Yarrowia lipolytica: one gene and its partner. The protein of the gene in region 1 interacts with the protein of each later gene in a pairwise test. Links are inferred from orthologs where the notes say so. Each region holds a gene or a part of one and is shown in the gene's direction. Other genes may lie near its edges.

Region 1 (7,361 bases):
GTAAAACATTTGCCCTGATACAGTAACTGGCTCAACTCACGCAGGGTCTTCCCAGATGAAAAAATAGCCTTCTGTTTGTGTCAGTTGAAGCTGTCTGTGGCTGGCTGAGGTCTGAGACAGCTGAGGCCATGGATGGTGCTGAAGGCGGCGGTAGTACAGATGTCGTCATACCGCTTTGTCGCCATCATCTAGGCCTCGTCCCCAGGCTGGGTTCTCCTTGACCCAGTCTACGTCGTCTACTTTCTCCACCACTGGTCCATCTCGACTTAGTGAATACCGATCGAGCCTATTGAGCACGACGGTATGCAAAACAATGCCGCGAGCTCATTAATGAACGCTGTTGCTGCATGATACCTGTAGCGGATGGACTTGACCCGGGAGCCGTGGGCCTTAATTCGCTCGATCTTCTTACCAACCAGCATCCCAAAAGAAATATGCTGTGTGAGCGTTTTTTCACCGTTGCCGCTATAGCGCCCAACCTACAGTTAAGACTCATCATCTCTGTCACCCATAGATGGTCTATAGGTTGCTACTCGGGGACAACTGGGAGACTTGGTCCAAAAGTGAACGTCTTTCTGACAGCACAACCGGGCCACAGCTCATCACGCACATCCTAACGAACATATATGAACTCAGGTGGAGTAGCATGTGCAGATTGCGGTCTGTGGTGAATCCCAAAGGGGCAAGAATCAATTAATATGGCTGTAAGTTAGCCAAGCGTTCGTGTAAAAAGCCTCCTGCAGGGTGTGGTTCCTACACCGGGAAGAGATGGCACGAGACCCAATCGCTGGCGATGAACTACGGCAGATAATAGGACAGAGAGTTCGATAGTCAATAATTTCGGCCGTGCTAGACATTATGAAATGGTCTTATTCACCATAAAAGTCAAGATTCAGTTCCGACTATCGCTCTTAGTCCCACCCTTATCGAGCGTTACGTCCATGGGGTTTAGCCAACGCATCTGCAAAGACGTTCTTCTGTTTTAGGAAAACGAATGAATAATATACCTCTACTATCGCTAATCTTCTCTTCGCAAGCTTAAGATGTGAATTTGTCATCTTACTCAGAGATACAAGTGTCCAACTGTTGAGGTGGTGAAAACAGTACACACCGTGAGGTCTTTCTTTCCATAATTACAAGTTCCCCGAAAGTGGGTTCCTATTAATAGGTTAGGGCATCAAATCTAACCTACCGTGGAGCTTCTCAATCAGCATGACTATTCCCTTTGCTCTCTACTGTGCTTGTATCATTTTTTTATTTTTATTTTATTTTTGGTCTTCCGGATGTCTGTCCGCGCTTACGTAACCCACGGAATTTACTTAATCCCCTAACTAAAGCTAACAAAAAACATCTGAAACGTGTCACTCTCCCATCAGGGGGTTAGGGTAGTTTCACGTGTCTACCTTTGCCGGAGTGATTAGTCAGGTGGCACGACAAAAGCGTTCAGAGATACGATATCGGGTGGTCGCGGATCTGGAAACCCACTCATTCCTTCACTCTCACTCGCCTCTTGACGTTACAATATGTGTCCTATTGTTTCCACCCAAGCCTGCCATGCACACGCATCATCATGCTGTGTGTATCTGAACCTTCTGTCAGCTACAACATAAGGGTATCACCAACATGTTTCGGTCAATATCGCCATTGCCATTCTGGTCCAAGGATGCGACCCAAGGTAAGTATGAAGAGGGTTATGGCACGCAAGCTCTTTTTTTGTTTGTGTCTGTTCTTCTTACAGCACTGAACGCCTCAACATGAGGACATGTCACGAACGCGTTAGGGGGTGGTAGAAGAGATCCACAGCGATGATCCGGCACTAACGACGACTGTTCGAGTGTGTGCAATGACAGGACTTACTAATTCAGACCCAAAAATGAAGAAATACACGTCAGCACTAGAGAAGTCGCTGGCTTTATGGGACTCGGTCGACGAATGGGCAGACTACATTTCGTTCATTGGCAAGCTGCAGAAAGCACTCAAGAGCCATTCCAACCCATCCTACCTGCCGCTACAGAGCGAAATTGCCTCCAAACTGGCCTGGTGTCTGCTGCCAAACCTGCCGTCAGGAGTGCACCAGAAGACCCTGGAGGTGTACCGTCAGGTGTTTGAGATACTGCGAGGTATCGGCGACTATCACAAGAGTCTGGACGGCAAATCGGTGGACCCCGTGGCCCAGGGAATCAGAGTCTGGCTCCCCGGACTGCTCCCGCTCATGGCATATGCATCCATTAACGTCAAGCCCATCTTGATTGAGGTACTTCAGGAGGACATTGTGGAGAAGCTGCCTCAAGCGACTCTCAAAACGACAATTCGACCGCTGCTGCTCTCACTGCTTCCCGGTATCGACGACGAGTCAAGTGAGTCATTCCAGGCGTGCTTTGATCTCATTCAGAAGCTCAAGCTACGTCTCCATGATGAGCCCTACTTTTGGCAATGCTTCTTCCTCACCATTGTATCCGCTCCAGATAAGAGGCAAGGAGCGCTGGTTTATGCATACAAAGAACTGCCCCAGTTCTCCAAGGTCGAGGGCATCAATGAATCCGACAAGATCATTCACAGTCTATCCTACGAAGCCCAGTCAGCTGTCACTCCGGAATGTGGCCTGCTGATCCGGGCCTTCTGTCGGGGGCTAGAGGACGACCAACTCCTTGTCCAGCGAGGTTTTCTGGAACTATTAGTCAAGAACCTGCCTCTCGATTCTCCTGTCATTACAGGCCTGGCCTCTAAGAGCGACATTTCTCTGCTGATGACAAGCGCATGTGCCGCCGTGCTCAGAAAGGACATGTCTCTCAACCGAAGGCTGTGGGCCTGGCTTCTTGGACCCGATGATGTTTCCATGAAGGAGTACTTTACAACACACGGCCGAGATGCGCTTGTCCAGGGCATCCTGGCTCTGAGTTCGCCAGTGAGAGCTTCCAAGATTTCTCTCTCGTTGATGGATCGATGGGAAATTGGATCTACTGTGATTCCAGAGATTCTGACACCCATTATCCAATCTGTCTACGACTGTGAAAAGAGACCTGACTACCAGGATATTGTGTTGTCAGCCTCCGCCTTTGTTGACTCAGTGGAGGCAATCAACATTTGGGCCGACATTCAAAAGATGCTCAAGACTGGCTCTCTATCTTTGGCTTTATTCACACTTCAAACCTTCAATCTTTCGGACGAAGAGATGATTGTCAAGCATGCTCCTTTGGCACTACTGAGCCATCTTCTGTCTGGACGTTTTTCTCAGTGGAAAGAGTGGAACGAGATTGCTACTCTGTTGATTGAACTCATCCCCGAGCGGGCATTTTTACCAGTGGAACATTCGACGCTCACTGATGGCGATTTCCAAGTGTCCACTATTGAGTCCAAGGTCGAAGAGTACTACGATGGCGAGTGGGCCGATGGATATGGAGCTGCTGATGTTTACTTGTTGCTTCTACAGACCTCCACTCGCTTGGCTGATGAGTTCTTCCAGAAGGTCACTGCTGAATGTAGTAATAACCCAGCCATCTTCTCCAAGCTTGCACTCATCATTTCCGAGCTACAAGCCAAGCAGGTTTCTGGTTTTAAGTCTGAACAGCTGGAAAAAACTCTACAGCTGGCAGGTGAAGAAGCAGTGGCTCAATTCGACCCCTTCTCCAGCTCTCCCCTGCCTTCTCTGCCTCCCGTGGCTGTCCTGGGATGGACCAGGCTGTACCCGCTGTTCCCAGCGAATCTTCTTGCTCTGGTAGGATACATTTTCACATCATTAACCCCCAACTCACAGTACTACAACGGCCCTTTCCACAATGCAGAGCTGGTCAAGGCGTTGTGGTCTCTTCAGGCTGTTCACGGTAGCGATGACAGGGAAGTGGAGGCTGCTCTGAGTATTCTGTTTTCGAAACCCTGTGATGAGAAGTCACAAGTGTTTTCGGCTATTTGGCAGCACTCTCTTTCGGCACCCAACTTCTCCAAGTTATTGGCTCGACCCTTGTTCCTGTATCTCGACTTGCTTCCTCTTCCTACCTCTCAGTTGGAGCTCTATGGCAGCAATGCAGGCAAAAACAAATTCCTCGCCTCTGATGTGTCGTCCAATGAGCTGATTTCCCTGGCTTTTGCATCGGAGAAATCTCTTGCTGGCTCTTACTGGCTCAACACAGTGGCTTCGAGCGGGTCGTGTGATAAACTATTCTCACTTCTCCTAGACCCTCTGTCCAAGTCCGCATTTTTCAGCCGGCCAACCGTTGAAGGCAAGCTGCTGTTTGAAGAGTCCGATGACCTGGCTCTTTTCGCATACCACGTCTCAGCTCTCACGAAGGTTCTTTCTGCCAATAATTCTAGCATGGCCAAATTCCATTTCAACAAGGAGGAGGTGGAAGAATTTGACATCAACGATTACTATGAAGGCAAATCCACCTATGCCGCTTGGACTGCCAACCTGATGGCTCATTTTCTGCAATTCCAGGCTGTTGATACGCTGGCATACAGTTCAGCTCTGTCTGCAGTGCTCAAGCTGTGTTCCATTCTGCTTGATTCGCCTCTCTTCCCTACTTCCAAAGCCAATTGGGAGGTATTTGTGCGCGTGTTGGTGACTAAGCTGTCTGACTTGGTAAACCAGGACTCGGAGCTTCAGGTCATCGTGCTTGCAGTTCTTGCCAAGGCTCTGCAGGCCTTGGATCTTTCCATGACGCTTTCCAAGAGCGAAAAGTTCATTGGAAACGGTCCTGTGGACATCCCCTTGGTGTCTGAAACCTCAGATGTGAACATTCCCGGTGTTTTTATTGCTGTTGTTCTGCATGGCTTGTCTTCTCGAAAGGGCGTTATCATCAGTTCGGGATGGATTCACTTCCTAGAGTGTCTGCTCGGAATCTACTCTACTGATTTGTTCCAGATTAGCATTGCTATCGTCGAGAGACTGTGTGCTCTTGTTGATGGTACCCCCGTTGCTTCTCTGCAGAAGCTTTCTACAGGCTCCAGGGAGGTTCTGGTCGAAGTTGACGACAAGGACGGCGAGAAGGACCCTGCAGTTGGCGATACAGTCACTGATGTCACGGCACCTCTGTCTGACTCCATTATTCCTTACCTGACAGGTCTGGAATACTGTCTCGAGTCCCTTTATCTTGCTTACACCAAGGTCGAGGCTTCGCAGGAGGAACTAAATCTCAACTCCACGGGGTGGATGACCAACGTGGTCAATGGTGTCTTATCTCTGGAGGAGCCTACAAAGGGCAATGGCTACAGAATGATTGTTCTGTTGTGTTTCCAGAATGCCGTCAAGAGCTGCTTCAATCTGTGGCGGAAGGTCGATGGACAGGAGGCCGAGGAATACACTTTGGACAGCGTTGTCTACCTTGGCCAGCGGTTGAAATTCCGAGCTCGAAAAATTCTCGACAAGCTGTTCTCTTTCGAGCGAGGTGAGGTTCTTCAAATGCTGATCGAGCTTTCGGAGGATGATATGCCCCATGTGTTGAAGGTATTGCATGTTCTGGATGGCTCTCGGCCCAAGCTGTCGGTGAGCCAGTTGCTTCAGAGTCTCTCAGATGACCAGAAGAAGTCAACGGCCTCGTTCCTTTTGGCTTATGTGAAGTCTCTATCCAACGACGCTGTAGAGGACATTTACACGGACTACATGGGTTTCGCCCGAACCGTCATGCTGAACCCCGTGCCCTACAAGGAAATCTTGTCTCCCACCGTTCAGACCCTCACTATTATTGGAGTCAAGATTGATGGCAGCAACTTTGCCAACCGAAAGGTGAGCAAGGAAATCTCTGATGCTGTTGTGAAGCTGGTCGGACAGGTTACCGATGAACAGACTCTCATGAAGGTGGTTCCTGTTCTGCGAACGATTCTCATTGACCAAGACAAGGTGAGTTCCGTTTTGCAGGGCATTGTGAACAACGTCGTGATCCCCAAACGGTCTTTTGAGTTACTCGGCGTCATCACTCAGATCCCAGGAACCGTCAAGGTGTGGAAGAGTGCCGTTCACGACTTTTTCATCGAGGACAACTTTGTCTACGAGGCTCCCTGGCCCCAGATTCTGTCCAAGTGGTCCACGTGCACCAAGGAGGTTTCTGAGCTCATCACCGGCTCATCTGGTGTCTTCAACTGGGGCTCTCGAGGTAACAGTGTTCGACGTTTGTGTTACCTGTTGCTTTCTGGCCAGGAAGACCAGTTTGTGCTTCATATGAAGGAGATCAAGGGCATTCTGGATGAGATTGAGCTCGAGTCCTTGTTCATTGCACTGCGTGCTATTGTTATGCGGTTCTCTGCCACTCATCTGGTTCCCATTTGGCCTCTGGTTGCCCACAACCTGCAGGTTATATTCGAGGGTCTGCTGCAAGGTAAGGAGACGGATAACCGAATCGTGATGAGTGCCTGTAAGCTGCTCGATCTTGTGCTGGTGCTTAACCAGGAGGATTTCCAGCTGGATCAATGGCTGTTTGTCACCGATTCCAGTGATGCTATTTACGGACACCCTTACGGTATTCTGGATCAGTTGGCTGAGTCTACGCCTGTCAGCAGTGATGATCTTCATCTGGAGGAGACTTCCAAGCGACGGCCTTTGCTTTTTGGACAGAAGATTGGTTCTCTTACCTCTCTTGCACAGCTAAAGCCTTTCTTTGACCGGCTCTCCATTTACAACTACGAAAGTGTTTACGCTCTCAAGGAGACTGATCAGGAGGCTTGTGAGCTGGATCTCTTGGCCGATATCCAGGAGTAAAGATGATATATTATACTAAATAGATTAATGAATGAATGATATGTATGCGTGTGAAAAAATGTAATTAATATGCAATGATGGTCTACTACTTCAGCTCGAATCTGTAGACACTTAGAAGTTCCCTGCCTTCTTTTCTTTCAACAATGCGCGTCACGATCCATCCCAGTTCCCTCATTTTGACAGCCACTTGTTCTGGCTTGTTGCTTGCACAGAACAAAATGTAGGCGATTCCGTTCTTTGACAGTATGGTCTTCAGTTCTAGTAGCACCTTCCAAGTCACCTGCATTCCGTCTTCACCTCCAAGAAGTGCCCAATCGACCCAGTCACCATCTGTCTCCGGGTAGGGTTCTACGGGCTTGTCGTCTGGCACATATGGAGGGTTGAAGACCAGTAGATCGATGGTATGAGGTCTCATCATTGTGGTACGTTCTCCACGAAGCGCCTCGAGGTACTGGGTGCCGTTGTTTTCTTTTGACGTGGCCAGAACCTGGTTGCATGCAAAGGGGCTGATATCTGTAGCCAAAAAAACGCCTTTGGGCACCACGGATTTCAGCATGAAGGTGGTGACGATGCCTGATCCGGTTCCGATCTCTGTCACCACAGGGTATGACAGATGGCTGTTGATGTAGCTCTGTTCCATTTCCAGCACGTCCAGGAGCATGAAGGAGTCTTC
Region 2 (5,348 bases), about 2.3 Mb from region 1:
GTTCCAGTGCCGCGATTGTCTGTGCCGCCTGTTGGTGCTCCACCAGCTCGTCCACGGCCTCACAAAACTGCGATTCTGTCTCCATCAGGGTTTCTGCCAGATCCTGTCGAAAGTCGTACTTGGACAACGCCTGTACGAACCGAAGCAGCGTATTTTCAAATGCTGGTAGCGCCTGATGAATCAACAGCTCCTTGTCTTCATCCATGCAGATTCTCGCCGAAGAAAGATGTTCCAGATGTGCTTCATCTTGAGATCGAATAGACGGCGACTCTCCCGCTTCACTTGCACTATCGGGACCTGGAGACACTTCCTCCACGTTTTGAAGCATTTGCAGCAGCCGCCGCCGGTCCGACACACCCACCACGTTCGACGACAGCCGTCTACGGGGCTTGGACCTGGTCAGAGCTATTGGTGCGGGCGTTGCAGCCGAGGAGCCTGGTGTGAAGGGTTGTAATGGCGGTAGAGGCGTTGAATTGGCCGGAGTTGAGTTCATTATGTGTGCTGATTTTATCCGATGGCTTCCACTCTTTTTGTGTTAGTTGGACTTGTATTTGGCGGTGTTGTGAATCTCCGATAGTCCATGCTTGTCGTTTATGCTCAGCGCCAAATTTCAAACCTTGTGGAGATAGTGGTGAGTAGCACTAGGCGAGAAGAAGGGGTGTTAGCTGCGATGGGTACAGTTTGTAGTGATAAGAAAGTGTTATTCGACGATATATTGGTGTATTTGAACGTTTTTAGACCTACAAAATGGCTTCATTGAATGATATCGGTGTACGTATTTTACTTGGTCTTCAACTTACATCAAACTAATTAGTTGACCATCTGACTGCAATAGTTAGCTTGTTTCGTCTCTATGTGAGTCATTTTGTTTACTCTTAGTTCACGTCCCACTTACCTGTACCTAACACGTGCCTGACCCTCGAGTCAGACACAACATAGCCTCGAGATATTCGTAGATTGATTAATTGTACGAAGTCACATCACAAGACCTAATAGAATCACGTGAGACAGGTGTGTATTTCCACCAGTCCTTGCTTCGTAGCTACTGTACTAATGGAGTGCCTCTTAGTCATAGTCACCTTCACACCTCTACATTCAACCATGTAGAGCAACTTATCGGGTGTCTCTAACAAACCCTTTAGGTACGGGATTAATAGATAAAACCCTCCACAGCAATCCTTGGAGTCACGTAACCCATACTACACCCTCCCCCCTCTCCATATCTCTCTCTAGAACCTCTCTCAGGTCTCTTGTCTTGACTGTACCCCCCTATATGCCAACTTTATAGGTGCTTAGTTCAGATCTTGTCAGCGGCCGTTTTTTTGGGAGGGACGGTATAATTAGTGTGCATAAAACATACATACAGCACAACCGCACAACACCACAGCACTGCGCAGAAGGCATAACAAGACACTACGACTGTACGTGACGACCCTACCACGCCTCCACTAGTGCAGACGACCTCCTCCCGAGAGTCGTGCCCCACCGTGCAAAGTGAAACGAACACACCGACGACTACTCTCCCTCCCCCATCAGCCTGTCCGTCTACTGCGCCACGTGTACGTCAAGGGCGTCACTTTTCTCTCCAACCAATACACCCGCCGTATGTCGGAAAGTATCCCCTTGGCCAATCTACAGCCACACATGGACGAGGACAGCGTGCCACTGATTGGCGACGGTCCCCAGACCGAGCGGCGAGGACACCGAGACCATCGCAACCGTCACAATCAAGAAGCCGAGGCAGAAGAACGGGTCATCGACCCGCGACATCCCGATCTGTCCACCTCCAACGCCGTGTCCAACGCCAAGTACTCGCCCTGGTCATTCATTCCAAAGATTCTCTATGAGCAATTCAAGTTTTTCTTCAATCTCTATTTTCTGCTGGTTGCTTTGTCGCAGGCCATTCCGGCACTGCGGATCGGCTACTTGTCGTCCTACGTCGTTCCCCTGGCCTTTGTATTGACGGTAACGATGGGAAAGGAGGCATGGGACGACATCCTGCGACGACGAAGAGACAATGAATCAAACTCAGAAACTTACACGGTTCTGGATCAGGTGACCCAGGTCGCTTCACGTGACATCCATGTCGGCCAGCTCGTCCAGATCCACAAAGACCAGCGTGTCCCCGCAGACATGGTGCTTCTCCAGTCGTCGGAAGAATCAGCTGAGTGTTTTATTCGAACCGATCAACTCGACGGTGAAACGGACTGGAAACTAAGAATCGCACCTCACATCACCCAAAAGCTGTCGGAAACCGATCTCAAGGATCTCGTGACAGTCACGGCAGAACCGCCGCGAAAATCCATCCACCAATTTGAAGGAAAGGTCACTGTTGGAACCGACTCCATGGGTCTCTCAGTCGACAACACAATGTGGGCCAACACGGTTCTCGCCAGCGGAACAGCCGTTGGAATCGTTGTTTACGTAGGCGCAGAAACCCGCCAGGCTCTCAACACATCTCGAGCAGGCACTAAAACCGGTCTGCTTGAACTCGAGCTCAACTCTCTGTCGAAAATGCTCTGCTTCTGCGTCTTCTTGCTCTCCTTTGTTCTTGTGGCACTCCACGGATTTGGAAAAGAATGGTACGTCGACGTGATGCGCTTTCTCATTCTTTTCTCCACAATCATCCCTGTTTCTCTCCGAGTCAACCTCGACATGGCCAAGTCGGTCTACGCATACCAGATTGAGCATGACTCTTCCATTCCAGACACTGTTGTGCGAACATCCACCATTCCCGAAGACCTTGGCCGAATCGAGTACGTGCTTTCCGACAAGACAGGAACACTTACCCAGAACGACATGGAGATGAAGAAGATCCATGTGGGCACTGTTTCGTACGCCGGGGAGGCCATGGACGAAGTGCGCGACTTTGTCAACTCTGGCGGGGAAGCCGGACCTCGATCAAGACGAGAGATCGGAAACCGAGTCAAAGACATTGTCACAGCTTTGGCCATTTGTCATTCTGTCACTCCTTCCTACGAAGACGGCACTCTGACGTATCAGGCTGCATCTCCCGATGAAATTGCCATTGTCAATTGGACTGCCGAGGTCGGCCTTCGTCTTGTTCGTCGAGACAGAAGCTCTATGGTCTTGCAACTGGAATCTACCGGCCAGCTACGGGAATACGAGATTCTCAACGTGTTCCCATTCACATCCGAATCGAAACGAATGGGCATTGTTGTTCGAGATGGAGACGACTACTGGTTTTTTGAAAAGGGAGCCGATACCGTCATGGCTAGCATTGTGCAGACCAACGACTGGCTGGAGGAGGAGACAGCAAATATGGCTCGCGAGGGTCTACGAACACTGGTGGTGGGCCGAAAGCGGCTGTCCAAGAAGTCGTACGAGGCCTTTTCTGAAGCATATGCGAAGGCGCAGATGGCAATGCATAGACGAGATCACGCGATCGCTCACGTGATCACGGAGCATCTGGAGCACGATCTGGAGCTTCTGGGTCTGACTGGTGTCGAGGACCGACTCCAGAAGGACGTAAAGGTGTCTCTGGAGCTCCTGCGAAACGCAGGCATCAAAATCTGGATGTTGACCGGAGACAAGGTTGAGACGGCTCGATGTGTGGCCGTATCGTCCAAACTTGTGTCACGTGGCCAGCATGTGCACACAATCACAAAACTCAAGGGCCGCGAGGCTGCTTTGGATCAATTGGAGTACCTGCAGTTCAAGACTGATGCTGCTCTGTTGATTGACGGAGAGTCCTTACAGCAGTTCCTGAACCTCTACCAGACCGAGTTCATTACTGTGGCCACAAAACTCCCCGCAGTGATTGCTTGTCGATGCCATCCTCAGCAGAAAGCAGATATGGCCTTGTTGATCAGACAGCATACAAAGAAACGGGTGCTCTGTATTGGAGACGGAGGCAACGATGTTTCCATGATCCAGGCTGCCGACGTGGGAGTTGGTATTGTTGGAAAAGAGGGCCGACAAGCCAGTCTGGCAGCTGACTTTTCCATCACTCAGTTCTGCCATCTCACCAAGCTGTTGCTTTGGCATGGAAGAAACTCATACAAACGGTCGGCCAAACTGGCGCTGTTTGTCATTCACCGAGGACTCATTATCTCCGTGTGTCAAACTGTGTATTCTGTGTCATCTCGATTCGAGCCTCTGGCTCTCTATCAAGGATGGCTCATGGTAGGCTATGCTACGGTGTACACCATGATGCCCGTCTTTTCGCTGGTGCTCGATAAAGATGTGGACGAGCACCTGGCCAAGCTCTACCCGGAGCTGTATAAGGAGCTGACAGAGGGTAAGTCGCTCTCATGGAGCACCTTTTTCATCTGGGTGCTCATTTCCTTGTACCAAGGTATCATTGTGCAAGGACTGGCCCAGGTGTTCACCGGTCTCGACCAGACCCTCTTCACCACCATGGTTGCTGTCTCATACACGGGTCTACTTCTCAACGAGCTGTTCATGGTGGCTCTGGAGGTGATCAAGTGGAACAAGACCATGGTAATTACCGAGGTGGTATCTCTCGGGCTATACTGCGGTTCCATTCCGTTTCTGGGCGAGTACTTCAACCTCGAATACTTTCAAAAGCCAGACTTATACTGGCAGGTGGCTGTCATTCTTTCGGCTGCCCTTATCCCCGTGTGGGCTGCCAAGGCCATAAAAGCAAAACTCAAGCCTCCTAGTTATGCCAAGGTACAGGATGCTTAATAGACAGTGCATGTTAGATTAGGAGGAGAGTGGTATCGGAACGTTAGATCAATAATATACGCAATATTACTGTCGGTTGTGAGTGTGAGTTATGGTACAGTAGAAGCACACGAGAGGGGCTTCAATTATGAGCTCTCCTATTATATAGTATACATACAAGATACACTACTGATTCAGAAGTGTACATAGAACGTTGACCGTCATACACAACTCATTTATTCACTCAGACGCATTTTTCTACTCCAGGACAGGCCAGAACTTCTTCTCCATCTCGAGAAGCTGCTCGGCAAAAGCCTTGGTTTGCTTTCTCACCTCCTCATAGTGCTCTGTAGACTCTCCATCAAACTGCACCTTATCGAACTTGTTCGCCAGCACACCCAGCTTCTCGACAAACTGTTCAAAGTCGGGTTTGGCCCACCATGAGATCATTGAGTCGATTCCCACACCCTCGATGGTCTCGGGGACTGCCTTGGGTGAGTTGATGTTCTTCTTCCGCTCAGAAGCAATGTAGAACATGGCCTCCTTGTAGACTTTCTCGAGCACCCACATGCCGGCCACCAGGGTCCGGATGTCGAGCTTTGAGTTTTGAGAAGACTCGATCATGAAGTTGATGTATTCCCAGACAGGAGGGTGGATCTTCTCGGAGCCATGGGACGACAGAGCCTTGAGTTGATCGA

What was found.
Region 2: the proteins of YALI1_F24469g (region 1) and YALI1_F01838g interact in binary tests that used the Saccharomyces cerevisiae proteins (3 or more experiments, as listed by UniProt). The link is inferred for Yarrowia lipolytica from reciprocal best matches to the Saccharomyces cerevisiae genes DOP1 and NEO1.

What each region holds. Positions count from the first base shown.
Region 1 is NC_090775.1:2,441,422-2,448,782, reverse strand, and holds YALI1_F24469g (uncharacterized protein), read left to right. Parts: upstream 1-1,623; coding exon 1,624-1,675; intron 1,676-1,865; coding exon 1,866-6,688; downstream 6,689-7,361. Other genes in the region: YALI1_F24486g (uncharacterized protein), read right to left, coding at 41-169; YALI1_F24478g (uncharacterized protein), read right to left, coding at 690-868, 922-961; YALI1_F24413g (uncharacterized protein), read right to left, coding at 6,774-7,361. UniProt on the Saccharomyces cerevisiae protein: Required for traffic between late Golgi and early endosomes, and for the normal structure and organization of the endoplasmic reticulum. Required for normal cellular morphogenesis.
Region 2 is NC_090775.1:180,065-185,412, reverse strand, and holds YALI1_F01838g (uncharacterized protein), read left to right. Parts: upstream 1-1,605; coding exon 1,606-4,671; downstream 4,672-5,348. Other genes in the region: YALI1_F01849g (uncharacterized protein), read right to left, coding at 1-493; YALI1_F01796g (uncharacterized protein), read right to left, coding at 4,909-5,348. UniProt on the Saccharomyces cerevisiae protein: Flippase that catalyzes the hydrolysis of ATP coupled to the transport of lysophosphatidylserine, phosphatidylethanolamine, and phosphatidylserine from the lumenal to the cytosolic leaflet of the Golgi apparatus membrane and ensures the maintenance of asymmetric distribution of phospholipids.